Linked DNA regions of Drosophila melanogaster. The protein of the gene in region 2 purifies or fractionates together with the protein of the main gene of each other region. This does not show direct contact. Each region holds a gene or a part of one and is shown on either strand. Other genes may lie near its edges.

The links. Proteins that work in one complex are often made in the same cells at the same time.
Region 1: the proteins of CLIP-190 (region 2) and jar purify together in Drosophila melanogaster (affinity purification with western blotting; 3 studies listed by BioGRID, with this or other methods). This does not show direct contact.

Annotation. Positions count from the first base shown.
Region 1 is NT_033777.3:24,267,254-24,272,823, forward strand, and holds the start of jar (jaguar), read right to left. Parts: upstream 3,981-5,570; 5' UTR 3,646-3,980; intron 1-3,645. UniProt on the Drosophila melanogaster protein: Myosin is a protein that binds to actin and has ATPase activity that is activated by actin. Together CLIP-190 and jar may coordinate the interaction between the actin and microtubule cytoskeleton.
Region 2 is NT_033779.5:17,382,310-17,389,065, reverse strand, and holds the start of CLIP-190 (cytoplasmic linker protein 190), read right to left. Parts: upstream 4,052-6,756; 5' UTR 3,571-4,051; intron 3,506-3,570; 5' UTR 3,436-3,505; coding exon 3,171-3,435; intron 2,921-3,170; exon of another isoform or gene 2,737-2,920; coding exon of another isoform or gene 2,673-2,736; intron 1-2,672. Other genes in the region: Lrch (Leucine-rich-repeats and calponin homology domain protein), read left to right, coding at 5,284-5,596. UniProt on the Drosophila melanogaster protein: Together CLIP-190 and jar may coordinate the interaction between the actin and microtubule cytoskeleton. May link endocytic vesicles to microtubules. May play a role in formation of furrows during cellularization.

The sequences.
Region 1 (5,570 bases), on a different chromosome or scaffold from region 2:
AAAGGTGACCCAGACATATGTGAATATACATAATAAAAAGTATCTATATATTATTACCCACATTCTGAAGATGATAATGGAAATTGAATATCATCTCGATAGACACTCCATATTATTCCCGATTTAAGTAGCTGCCTTTCCCTAACTGTAGCGACTGCACGGATTTAGAAGCCATCCGCTGGGCAACCAGTTGAACTTGTTTTAGCCACAGATTTTGCAGCTGCCAGTAGCCACTACCAAATGGGTTCAGAGTGATGAGTCACTCGGGCTAAATGGTCCAACTTGGCCCATCCGAATAGCCCAAAAAAAAACAAAAAAAAAAAAATGTGGGGGGAAAATTGGTCGAAAAGCAATTACACTTGCAACAATAGAAGTTGCAGCTGTAAAATTTATGGCCCGAACGTCACAGGAACAAGAGTTTGCTTCGCTTAACCGAAAGCGGGAAACGCAACGGTGACGGGGCCAGAGTTCACTGTACCGTAAAGCGTTGGCAAGCAAAACGCTGAGCATGCGCAAAAGTCACAACCGAAACAAGTTTTTCGTAGCGTTTTGTTTTTCAATCTTTCTCTGTTATTTTTGCCATCCCTGTCCGATTTTGTTTTTAATTTTTTTTTTCGTATTTTAGTTTAGTTTAAAGTTTTTCATATGCCCCACAAATGCCGAGTCGAGTGCTTTCAGTTGCAGTGCGGGTTCAACGACTTGGAATTGTTAAAAAAAAAAGATGAAGCGTAGAGAAGGGGGATTATGTAAGGCGAAGAAATGACTGTCGATAGTTAAACGTCGAGCAAGTGGAACCAATTAATGCGGACCAGTCAAAAGAAATCCGAAAAAGCCGGAAAACTACCGACAATTGAAAAGCGTTTTTTTTTTTTCCTGTGAGCCAAACGGCAATTAACGCTGCTCGTTTCCTACAATTCGGAGATGCAATTAAAATGCAAATGCTAACCGCTGGCTATCCCACATCCAGACCCAGACCCAGATCCGAATCCCATTTCCATTCCCATTGCCATTGCCATTAACCAAGTCATTTTACAGACGTTGATGGATTTGTGTGACGACCCTATAACTCATTTTCCACGACACATGTTCACAGATTTTCCATATGGTGTGGACCTGCAAGTCGTTACTTTGCACTTGGCGGATATGTGAGCATGGGGGAAAAAAGCATGGATCACTTCGTTTATTTTGGGTCACATTGGGGGCTTTGTGTTAGCCAGCCTTTGTTTTTTTGGGCGGCCTGTGTGTGGTGTTCCCAAATATGTGTTATCGTTTCACACTTAATCTTATCTCAGTTCCCCAGCACAATTACCCGTTTGACGCTAGGCAGAAAAATAAATAGCAGGTAAATATAATTCAGTTTCGTTGTAATGAGAATAATATAACCAAATTTATTGGCCACACAACTAGCAAATTGCAGAAAGTCGAGCCTCTTTCCCATCGAAAACTATAGCTATGCAAATCTATTTTCAGTCCCTTTGTTTTAAATGATTGTTTAACGATTGAAAAGTTATAAATAGACTGACAGTCATTAATCAAACGAAAGTAAAATTTTTTGACAAAAAAGTTGCAGATTATGGGATTATGGATTATGAATTTAAATGTTACTGTAACTATAAAAATGGTCGTATCATTATCATCATACATGATTCACATTAGTTAAGTGGTTGAAGTTTAAGCTTGAAATAATTTATTTATTTAGTGTTTAAAAATGAGTGCTATCTTATCATATTTACAACTGTATTCCGAATATATAGTTTGAATCACCGTTGATATATTTTTGAACAGGAAACTGAAACGGAACTTTCATTGCATATATTGATCCAATATTTTATAAGCACGTGTTGCGTTGGACAAACCAAAAAAAACTAATGTACATGAATAAAACAAGAGGGGCATGTACATAAAAAATCCATCAACGATGCCACGATAGAAGCAAAATACAACTGGAATTATGCTAATCGACTATCAAAACAAAAGCTGCAATTAAACCACACACTCTGGCTGACTTTCACTGCGAATCTTTGAACAATCGTCGGCCGTTTCAGTGTTTCTCTTTTTGTATTATATGCAAATTGGTCTAACGCATCTCGAGCCCAACTGCTGGCCACTCCAAAAAGATTGGTTTGCCTCCATTCGAGAAACTTTGGGCTACATATCTGTATAACCCGTCGAAGGTTCCATATAATTCATATAGGCAGCTGTCGGCGCTGACAATGGACGGCAATGGAGATCAGGATTGTGATCCTGCGATCCTGTCAGCTGTGTGGCGCGTGTTGGGAATTGCTTGCCACCCGGCGAGGGGGAGGTCACGTCGGTTTGAAAGGGGGTTGAACGGGGCTTGAGTGACAGCCAGCACAGGGACAACAACAGGACTTCCTCCAGTGCACCGCAAAGGATCTCGAATTATATGGAATTATATGCGCGACACCCTTGTGCGAATATTAGGTGAAATGATACAGTGATACCTCAATAAATCCATCAAATATTTATTATAAAGTAAAATGTCTTGGTTAAAGGGAAATGCAAATAGGTAAGTTAGTTTTAGCACCCATATAAACATTCTTGTTTGTTTCTAGCCACCGATTCCCGTGAACAAGGACAACATTCCTCACCCCCCCAGAGAAATATAGATACCCTGGCCACATGAAAGGGTATCGACGAACCCGTTTAATTGGCTTTAAAGTGTTCAGAATAGGTTGGGCACGTCTGCAAACATGGACACGCATGCGCAGGAGCGGCGTCCACATCCCTGCTCCTCCAGCTCCTACTCTGCCCCTATTTTCCACATAAATAAACGAAATGTGCCTCGAATGGGAAATCAGACGGCCAGTCAGTCGATCGGGGAGAACGACACTTGTGTCCCTGGTTGACAGGGAAGGGAGGGGGGTGTGGCTCCAAGAAATGTTTGCTCATTTCCGCACTCAATTAAAATGGTCGGGACACAAAACTATCTTTGAGTTTGCTTTAAAAACACAACAACAACAACTGTGAACTGACGACGTTGACATGGGCCCCTGTCTATAAATAGAATTATGTACATACACACACATATGGACACATGGAATAGGGTGCATGGTTGTGGGTGCGGGATGTGGATGAGGATGCGTGGTAGGAGGACAGCTGTGGGAATTGCAGGAATGGTGGTGACATTTGCTGTTGCGACTGCGCACTCCTTTTGTTCGATTTACGGTCACGTTTTCTGTTTGAACCTCCTGTTCTATAGAGAACTAATAATATTGGAGGGCAAACAAAACAAATATGAGTCATGGTTAGAATAAGTTTACCAAAGCCAGAAAAGAGCTAAATTCTATGTAACTACTTGGTATAGAAATTAATAAAATGTAATGATTAATTGTACTTTGGTTTAGTTTATGTGCAAAAAACGATTCCCAGTTGAAAGTACTCATATGTAGGGTGCAGTCACTTCCGCGATTGCTAATCGATTTCTTGTTTGCAACACTGGCATATTGTACATAGGTAACCAATTTTCGTGGACAAGAATGTGCCAATGTCAGGCGGAAAGGCGAAAAGCGCAAGTCAACAGAAAGCAAAAGGCAGCAAATCCGCCTTCACAGGTGACCACCACTCGCTGTCAGGCGGTTATCCCCTTACCCCTATTCCTCCAGAGAGATATTGGCCACTTACCTTAAGACGGCTGGAAATCTGTACGTGCGTAAGTTACTGGCAAATGGGGATTATGTTTCCGGGGACGCACACGAACACATTGATGAAGGCGCAATCCACTTGGAATCGATCTCCTGCGTGGATTTTGTTTGGTTCGAATTTAGAACTTGCAATTTATAGCCACGATACACTATTTCCAAAAGTTTGTAACACTTGAAGTATTTTCAGCTGGGTGTTGTGTTTGTTTGCCTCGGTTTTAACAGTTTAGATTTAAGATTCAAGCGGCGATCGGAAGGCGACCAGCACGAGCGTCTCGAATCGCGTACCGTCGCGTTGGAGAGTCGAGTCGAACTGAAATCAAATCCACAACAATCCACTTTTGGATTTTCGACTTCGAAAAGCAACGGCACCGAAACAACAACAAGCACGCGCAAAACAGCTGACCGCTAGAGGTGCCACCACCGCTGCCGATAGTTAGGGCGCAAAATCTGCCCTGCAGTGTGACCAGAGATTAGTTTTGGCGCTAATTTTAAATATGCGTTACTTTTCAAATCCATAATGGTTAGATGGGTTTTTAAGATACTCATTTTCGTAGATGCAGTAGTTTTTACTTATCCTATTTGTGTAGCCAGTTCTAAACTTAAAGCTTGGAATATGGTAATTTAAGATGCACCGCATATCAGTATATATAAACAGTATACTCTTCAAAAAGATTCACCGCTGATCGTGCTGTTTTTAAGTTTAATTATGAAAGATGCAAACGAAAATGGCCAAGTTTGAATGGAATGGGTTAAGAATGCGGTGTTATCGAGTGGTTCACTCTTCTGCAACACCTGCATCACGACTGGTCCACAGTCGCAGTGGTTTATCCGTCAGAATGTTGGATAGTGTTGTACTCAGTTCTCAGTACTATACTATAATTATTTCAGCAAAGCAAGAAGATTTGGCAACTTTTCAAAATATAGATTTCGATGGCTGCACAACGGTGCGTTCTCATATTCTTGTTCCCTATATATTTTAAGTTTAGTGACGTGGAGCAGGACAATTGGTTCCCACATACCGCCCGTACTCTTTGTAAAAGTTCCAAGAGGGGTTGTTTAATGAATAAAAAGTGAGGTGACTAATTATTTTCCTGTCCTTAACTTTACCAGCTACCACCACCACCTGGATGCATTCTGGGGATCAAATATTCCGCCAGCCTTTGTTGCAAATATTTAGATAAATAACACTAGCGAATGAACGAGAAACGAGTGTGAAATAGGAGCCATTGTATCGTACGATTTTCCGTCTTTGATTTTTCGCTCTCATAATGGGTCAGCGCCCCGCTTATTAATTGAGCTCAATCAGGAGCGTCTTTATTAATTGTCGCAGGGGTATATTGTGTTTTACTAACTATAGTAAGTTATAAGTTATAAGTAAGTATGGTTGAACCCTTCTAACTTTGTAATACTAGATTTCAAAGTTGAAGTTACTTGGTGTACTTGCTTAACTATAAGATATAATTTTCTAATGAAACTAAGTTCTTTTAGCTGATGAAAACTGGTATCTCAACGAACAAGAATGGGTATCTCTTAGTCGCTAGACTCAACTGCGACCATTTCTTTGTATTTTTGCAATACCCGCTTAATTGTCTGTCTGTCGCAGCGCAGCTCAATTGGAAGTGAAAGAGAGCGCGTAGGTCTGAGTGATCGTGATCGCCTGATTGACAAACGACTGCCATCGGATGAGGCATTCGAGTTTCCACTTACCTGGCTTACCTGGCTGCAAGCGGCTGTGCAAATGGAAATTGGTAGAGGCTTTCCCCGTAAGTGGCCGGGGATCGGTGTAATTTGCTACCAAAAACGACTAGGGGTGGCTCCGTACCATGTTAGTCATATCTCCACCTTCTCCTCGTCCGCCTGAAGTGGTTGTATCTGGGTATTGCTATCTTGGTATTAGAGACCCGC
Region 2 (6,756 bases):
GCTGCAATTTTATTTTCCCTTTCTTCGATACCATATGGATCGATCGCTCAATGGTTTTTAGCACTCTAATCACAAGTGCAGTAAATGCATGAAAATAACTAAGCAAGAGTTCGAAAAAATGGAATTTCACTTTTTGGGTTTTTTTAACAATCCATATTGGCTTTGAAAACTCTAAAAAATATGTTCTTGTTGTATTCAATAATTAATAGGCAAATATGTTTTGGATTTCGACTTGGAAGAAATCTTATGTGACCTTATATATTTCATAAAATATAAATATTTATAAGCAGTGAAATTTATTATAAAAAAGTATGTAAGTTTTGGAAAATTATTATTTTTTCTTTAAAGATGTTTGAAGTGGCTATTGAAAGATTCGATAAAGTTTTTAAACGCCGGGTTGTGTCTAATTATATATAAAGTTTACACGTAGGAAAACAATTTAAGAATTGCTTGACGAGATTGTAACAATGAATTCCAGAGACTAAATGCCAGTTAATCAGAATCAATTATCTTTAGATTCATCTATGAATCAGCTTTTAAGACAATGCACAAAAAAGCGCATTGAAATATTGAAACACGTATTTAATAAAATTTTCTAAACTATAACAAATACATAACTTATCAAATCGAATATGTATATATATTCCTTTTAAGAGAAGATACTGTTTTCTGTTGGCTGAAACCCGAGACGTTTTCAGCTTAAATATGCAACACGTGTCTTCAATTATAAAGATTTCAACGACTTAATGATGTGAAGTCAAATAAGTGAGACAAAAAGTGGTTAATCATAACATCAATATTGACTCTCCCACGGAGTCGGTGATGTAAACAGAACTGGGCTCAATCTAGAATCGAATGGAGTAATCCCCCGCCAGACGATGCTCATCCATTGGACGTCAATCCCGAACGCGTTTTCGATTCAATCTTAATGCGAAGACAAATGAGCTTTCCGTTTTTATGGGTGGGAGAGAGGCTCACTTCACTTTTGTTTCCGATCGAAACCAATAAAAGTGACATAAGCTCATCCACGAGCACCACGACCGCAATTTTCATATCAGATCGACTGAGAACGGAACCCGGCATCAAATGCGCAGCGCAAAAACACCTCAAAAGATCTGAGCTCACGAACAAGCTAGAAGATACGTTTTGAGTACGTTTTCTGTGTCATCGCCAGAACAAATTCAATTAGGGAACGACGACGTAGAGATAGATTGCCGGCCGGTCGCCAGGTTTTCTCGGTCGCATTTGAGCTGAGTAGATTTTCGCAGACTTTTGGCATTGAGTATGGCGGGCCAAATGACGGGTCTCTTGGCAGATAGTCAAACAGTCCGTTCCAGAATGCTAGGAGAGATTTTAGAAAGCTGATCTGGGCAGCGGATCAAGGCGCTCAGGCGCTTGGAACGGATTTGGTTTTAAGCAGCGCGTCGCATAAACTACTAATTGACTAAAGTAGTTCAACTATTTGGGACATGCGGTATATCACTTCGTTTTCGTTAATAATTGGCAAAATGCGGAATAATCTCTTTGATATGGCGATCAACACTGGCGTATTTGAAACAAATCAGCGTAGAAATTTAAATGTACTAAAGCAAAAAATTCGGAGCTATCAAAACAAACTGGACTTTCATTGAGCCAAGCAAACAGCTTAATTTCTGAAATAGGTTTAATAATTATGTGCAATAAACGACCAATAAACGATTTTAAAAATAATGTATAAATGGGCAAACAAACTAGTTACAAAACCAATCTAATACAAAGTGATAATCTAAATGATCACAGTGCACATAGCGCCGTGTAAACTATTTCTATGGATGCAAATTAAATACACCTCGTGACTCAGTTTTTTCTGTAACCCTAAACATTACAAATTTTTGTGTTTTTGGGTAAATTTACAGGGAATAAATTTCTACGATTTTGCGGTTGCATTGCGACTGTCAATCGGATATGGAACGTGTGTGCCGGCGAAATAGAAAACCCGTCAATCGATCCATGGATCGTTTGGCAGATCGTTTGCTATATGGGCCAGTGGGTCGTCGTATGTTGACGACTGCGGTGCGGTTACGTGCCTGAAATGAGCCACATTGGGCGGATCAATTAAATGGTAGCAGCACTTGCCTAATTGGCCATAATTCTCCTTACCAAAAACACTTTTCGGGGCAGCTCTATAATTATGATCGAGAGTTAAGAGTGGGCGGCAATTTGTTTTGTTTATTTTTGAATTGTGCGTTGGTGTTTCAAAACGATTAAATAATTGAAAGAAGTGAAGCATTTGTTTACCAAACGAAACAGTTGACGCTGGGAATTATTAATGGTTTCTCTTTAGAGAAGAATTTACACTAACTACGCGAGTTCTCGCCGAAATAATTGCAAGTTCAATGTAGTGCAAAAAGTGCACTCAAATGGGGTGGGGTCAGCGTATATGTATGTATATATTTAGCAAGTGAGTGGGTCTGTCATCGTTTCCATTAGATCATTGCATTCGCTTATAGTATACAGCAATCTACATCTTGTGGGTGCACATATATATATGTAGGCGGATGCTTGACTTGCTTGAGCCAAAGATGCAAACACAAAAGTAGTCAAATCTCGGGTATTGAGGGTAGAGAGTAAGTAAACTTGATGAAATGACCCCTTTACAATGTCAAACTTAAAAGTGCATTATTTAAACTCACCATTCTTTTTGGGTTTCTGTTTTCCCATTTGAATGTGGGTACATTTTTTAATATTAACCTTCATGAGTACTTGGTGATAGTATAGTGGTGGGCTATACTATTGAAACATATTTTACTGCGATATTTTCCGGAGAGCAATTCAATTATCAGACTTCTTCCAACTGTTTTATAAGTGAAGAACTCGCGTATAAAAGTGGAAATCGGTAAAAACCCCTTTTCTTGAATTGTGAAATTAATGTTCTTTGTTAAGATGTTAATATGTATGTGACAATGCACTGACAAGATTTTCAAAGGGGCTCTGGTTGAATTCCCATTGGTGTTCAGATGTGTTTTAATTTCATCTTGCTTTAAATTCTAGCTTGTAAAATGGATGATAATTAAACCCAGGGGATAATTAAGACCTTTAACTACTTTCAAAAATACTGCTCTTAGTAACATATTTGCTTTGAGCAATAATACTAACTGGTTTGCGTTGTTGCACAATGCGATTAGACTTACCTCTTGGTGGTGGACCGGATTTGGGAGTTGTGTGATTGCAGCACGGTCTTCCGATTTTGGAAACAGAACCCGTCGATCCAAAACTAGATGGTGCCTTCATTTTGCTGGGCTGCGGGATTCCGGTACCAGAAGTAGCGGGCGTGGGAATATTGGATCTGATGGGACCCGGTAATTTGGAGGCAGTGGCTCCTGGTTCCGGGTCCGCAGTAACTGGCGATGGAAAAGGGGCACTTGTCCCGCCCGAAGCGCTCGTATCATCACTCATTTTTTACTTTATTCTTAATAATCTTCACTTATTAGGACACACGCGTATTAAAAGTAAACGATTTAAAAAACTTGGGGGAAAAACAAGTGCAAAAGAATAATTTTTGGTAAAATAAATGGAATGCTGATCACTTACCTTAACAAATATATGTATAATTCGCTTAATTTGCTTTTATTTTATATTTTTGCTACAAAAATAAATGGATTTTTTTTATTTTTAGCTAGGTTTTGAACCACTGTTCCACTTTTGTTGTTGCTTTATTTTGGCGCGCAGGCAGCTATCTCACTCGCACTTAGGCGGCTGCTTTAAAACAGCTGACTGAGAGCAGATTTCTTTTCTTCTTTTTTTCGTTGAGCTTGAAAAACAAACAAGACCGCTTTTTGTTGTTGCTCTCGTTGGCCAGAACTTCGTTATATTTTCAAAAAATGCGGAACACAAATATGTATTGAATTAATTTTATGCGACTAACAAAATCACTCAAGGGTATTCTATTTATATAAATTCGTAACTTTTTATTTATAATTTTGTGTTGGGCTGCTTGCGCTGATATTCATCAGACTTAAACAAGATTAAATTGAATCAAATTGCTTATCAATTTGTGCATTTCACACACACACACACGCACGCTGTAGCTCTGTTCTATATTTTATTGTTGCTGCTGATTTGACACAGTTATAGAAGAGGGAACCATTAGAAGAGGGTGGGAAAAGGGACGCGAAAACGCACTCTTATTGGTGTGTGTTTACCGCACACACACACAGTACTTAAATAAACTGGAGTGCTTTACATACTGTGCTGTGCGAATACGATTTAGAAATATACGCGATTGGGATTTTACAATTTTACACAAATTTTAGATTTTTTTTGCACTTAGTTGGCGTTGCGTTGGAATTTTGTTGTTGCACTGAGTTAGCGATGGTAGCACAGCTCCAGTGCAGCGCGCCAATCGATAGTTGCGGCTATATTTTCCCGAGGTATTTTTAGAGTAATGCGGTCATACAAAAACACCCTGTAGGAAATTGGCGAATATTTATTCGTGAATATAAATATGTAAAATATGAAATTATGTCACCAATAATGGAAGCGTCGCTGAGCTTATTCAGATTTGTGATCTGAGCCCACACAACTGACAAATTAACGAATTTATAATTTAGTCTAACATGGTTTTTTAATATTCAACCAGTTTATTGCCGGGTTCCAATACCAGGTTACCTGGTCATTTGTTCATTTTTTCTTTAAGTAGTTATATGAAATGTTTCGGTGTAATAACGACTCAGTAATCTAATAATGCCCTAAATTTGAAGGGGCAAATGCTAAACGGTAGATCATTCTGAATAAACAAACATTACATTACATTATAAAATGTAAGATTGTTGACATTTCGAATTGCGATAAAAATGGAGCCAGTGTATCATCGGCGCACTGTGGTATTTTATCGATAGTACTCAAAGGCACGCCGATTTTAAACTAACAGCAACGTTTCCAGCGCTGCCCAAGTAGCATCCCATAAACCGATTCAGTTGTTTTTCGATTTTCGTTGTGCACTGTCGCTCGTCTGCTGCGTGAGCTTGTGCGTGTGTGAGTGCGCGTGTGTGCGAGGAGGCAAAGAAGAGGAAGCAAGAAGGAAGCCGCAAAAGGAAAATCCAATTCCGAGAAATCTTATCAATGAGCCAAGAAGACGTACACTAAATGAAAAATAATCGAGATGCGTGCGTTTCAATAGAGCAAATTTAGTTTCCAGTTTCGGTTTCTTTCGGCACTTCACTCCGTTTCCTTATCGGTGTGATAGTTTAGCGCGTGCGTGTGTGTGTGCAAGTGTGTGGAAGTGTCGCCACGCCTACACGGGAAATGGCAGCAACGGTTTACCAACGCCTACATAGCGTCGCAGTCGGCGTCGGCAGCGCCGCTGGCAGCGCCATCGGCAGCGGGTCGGCTTCCCTTCCAGGATCTGGAACAGGATCGGGATCTGGAATAGGCCACGCTGGAAACACCTCCTCCTCCACCTCGTCTGCCCTGCTTAGTCATTCCCAGCTGACGCGCTCCCTGGAAAGAATCCTGGAAGAAGCGCACTTCAGCGGCGAACTGATCCTGACCAATCGCAAGCTGAAGGACTTTCCCAGGACTGGAACGAAGTACTCACTTACCGACACTGTCATCGCAGGTGCGTACCGCTATTGTATAGTGTATATTCGTAAGGGAGAACAAAGAAAAGGTGTTCTTCAAGCCGGTTTCGTAGCTCCGGAAAAAATTGGGTTTTCATTACTTCCTAAGTAAAGTTTAAACTGTTCTTAATAATACTTAATGTACGAAGTTAATAACATTTTATTGGAAAAAGCATACATTTTTATATTACAAAGTTAAATGGTATTAAAGTTGATTAGAAAATTGTTAGTTATAAAGTTTTCTTTTGACGTCAGAAAAAGTAAAAGTAGAGTTTACATATGTACAAGTACTGATAAAGCAATTAAATTAGTTGCTTATCGAAAATGTTTGGCGTATGTGTATACCTTTAGGGTGCGGCATTTAAGCAAAGGAGGTTTGTTGCCGGTGAGCTAACGAAGTTTTTCCATCTCCATTGCAGTGGCGAATTTTCCTTTTGTTGCTTGAAAATCAATAATTTGCAGCAGCCGTCGGAGGTTCATCCTTTTCCTCCTTTTCTGTCCTCCCATCAGCTGCTCTTTCTCTCTGCGGCTCTCCCATTCTCTCCCTTTTCGGACTGCGCTCAAGGACAATAATTACCGCCGTTATTCGCTCTTCGCCACTTTGCACTATTCGTGTTATCCTTATTTATTTTTATTTTCGCCGCAGCCGGCACGAAAATTTTGTCGAAGTTCAACCAACTTTCGTTTTTGTTAGGACCAAAAAATATGCACCAGCGGAGAAATAGTAAATGGGAAATACCCACCCAGAAAATTCACCGCCCTCTCGCAGGACCCCGCCCCCTCTCACAGCTGCTGCTACCCTCGAACAGATGTTCTCACAACGGGACATGTCTCTCATCGATTTTCACTTGTGTTTGTTGTATACACATACAGTAAACGCTCTGAAAGGCGAAAGGATACGTAGATAAGGTTAGTTGTCATTCTAATCGCTGAAAAAGCGAGATATGGCAATTTTCCATCTAACAATACTTCACAGATCGAAGATTATGTTCATTGAAACGAGACAGATTATAAACTACAAAATTATTTTAGTTTATTTCTTTTAATTACTTACACAAAGTAAATTCCAACTATGAGATGTTATTATTAATTTTAAGACTTATTATGAACGTGGAATGTCACCTTTCAGAGGACGCACTGTATTTTGATGTATTTTCGG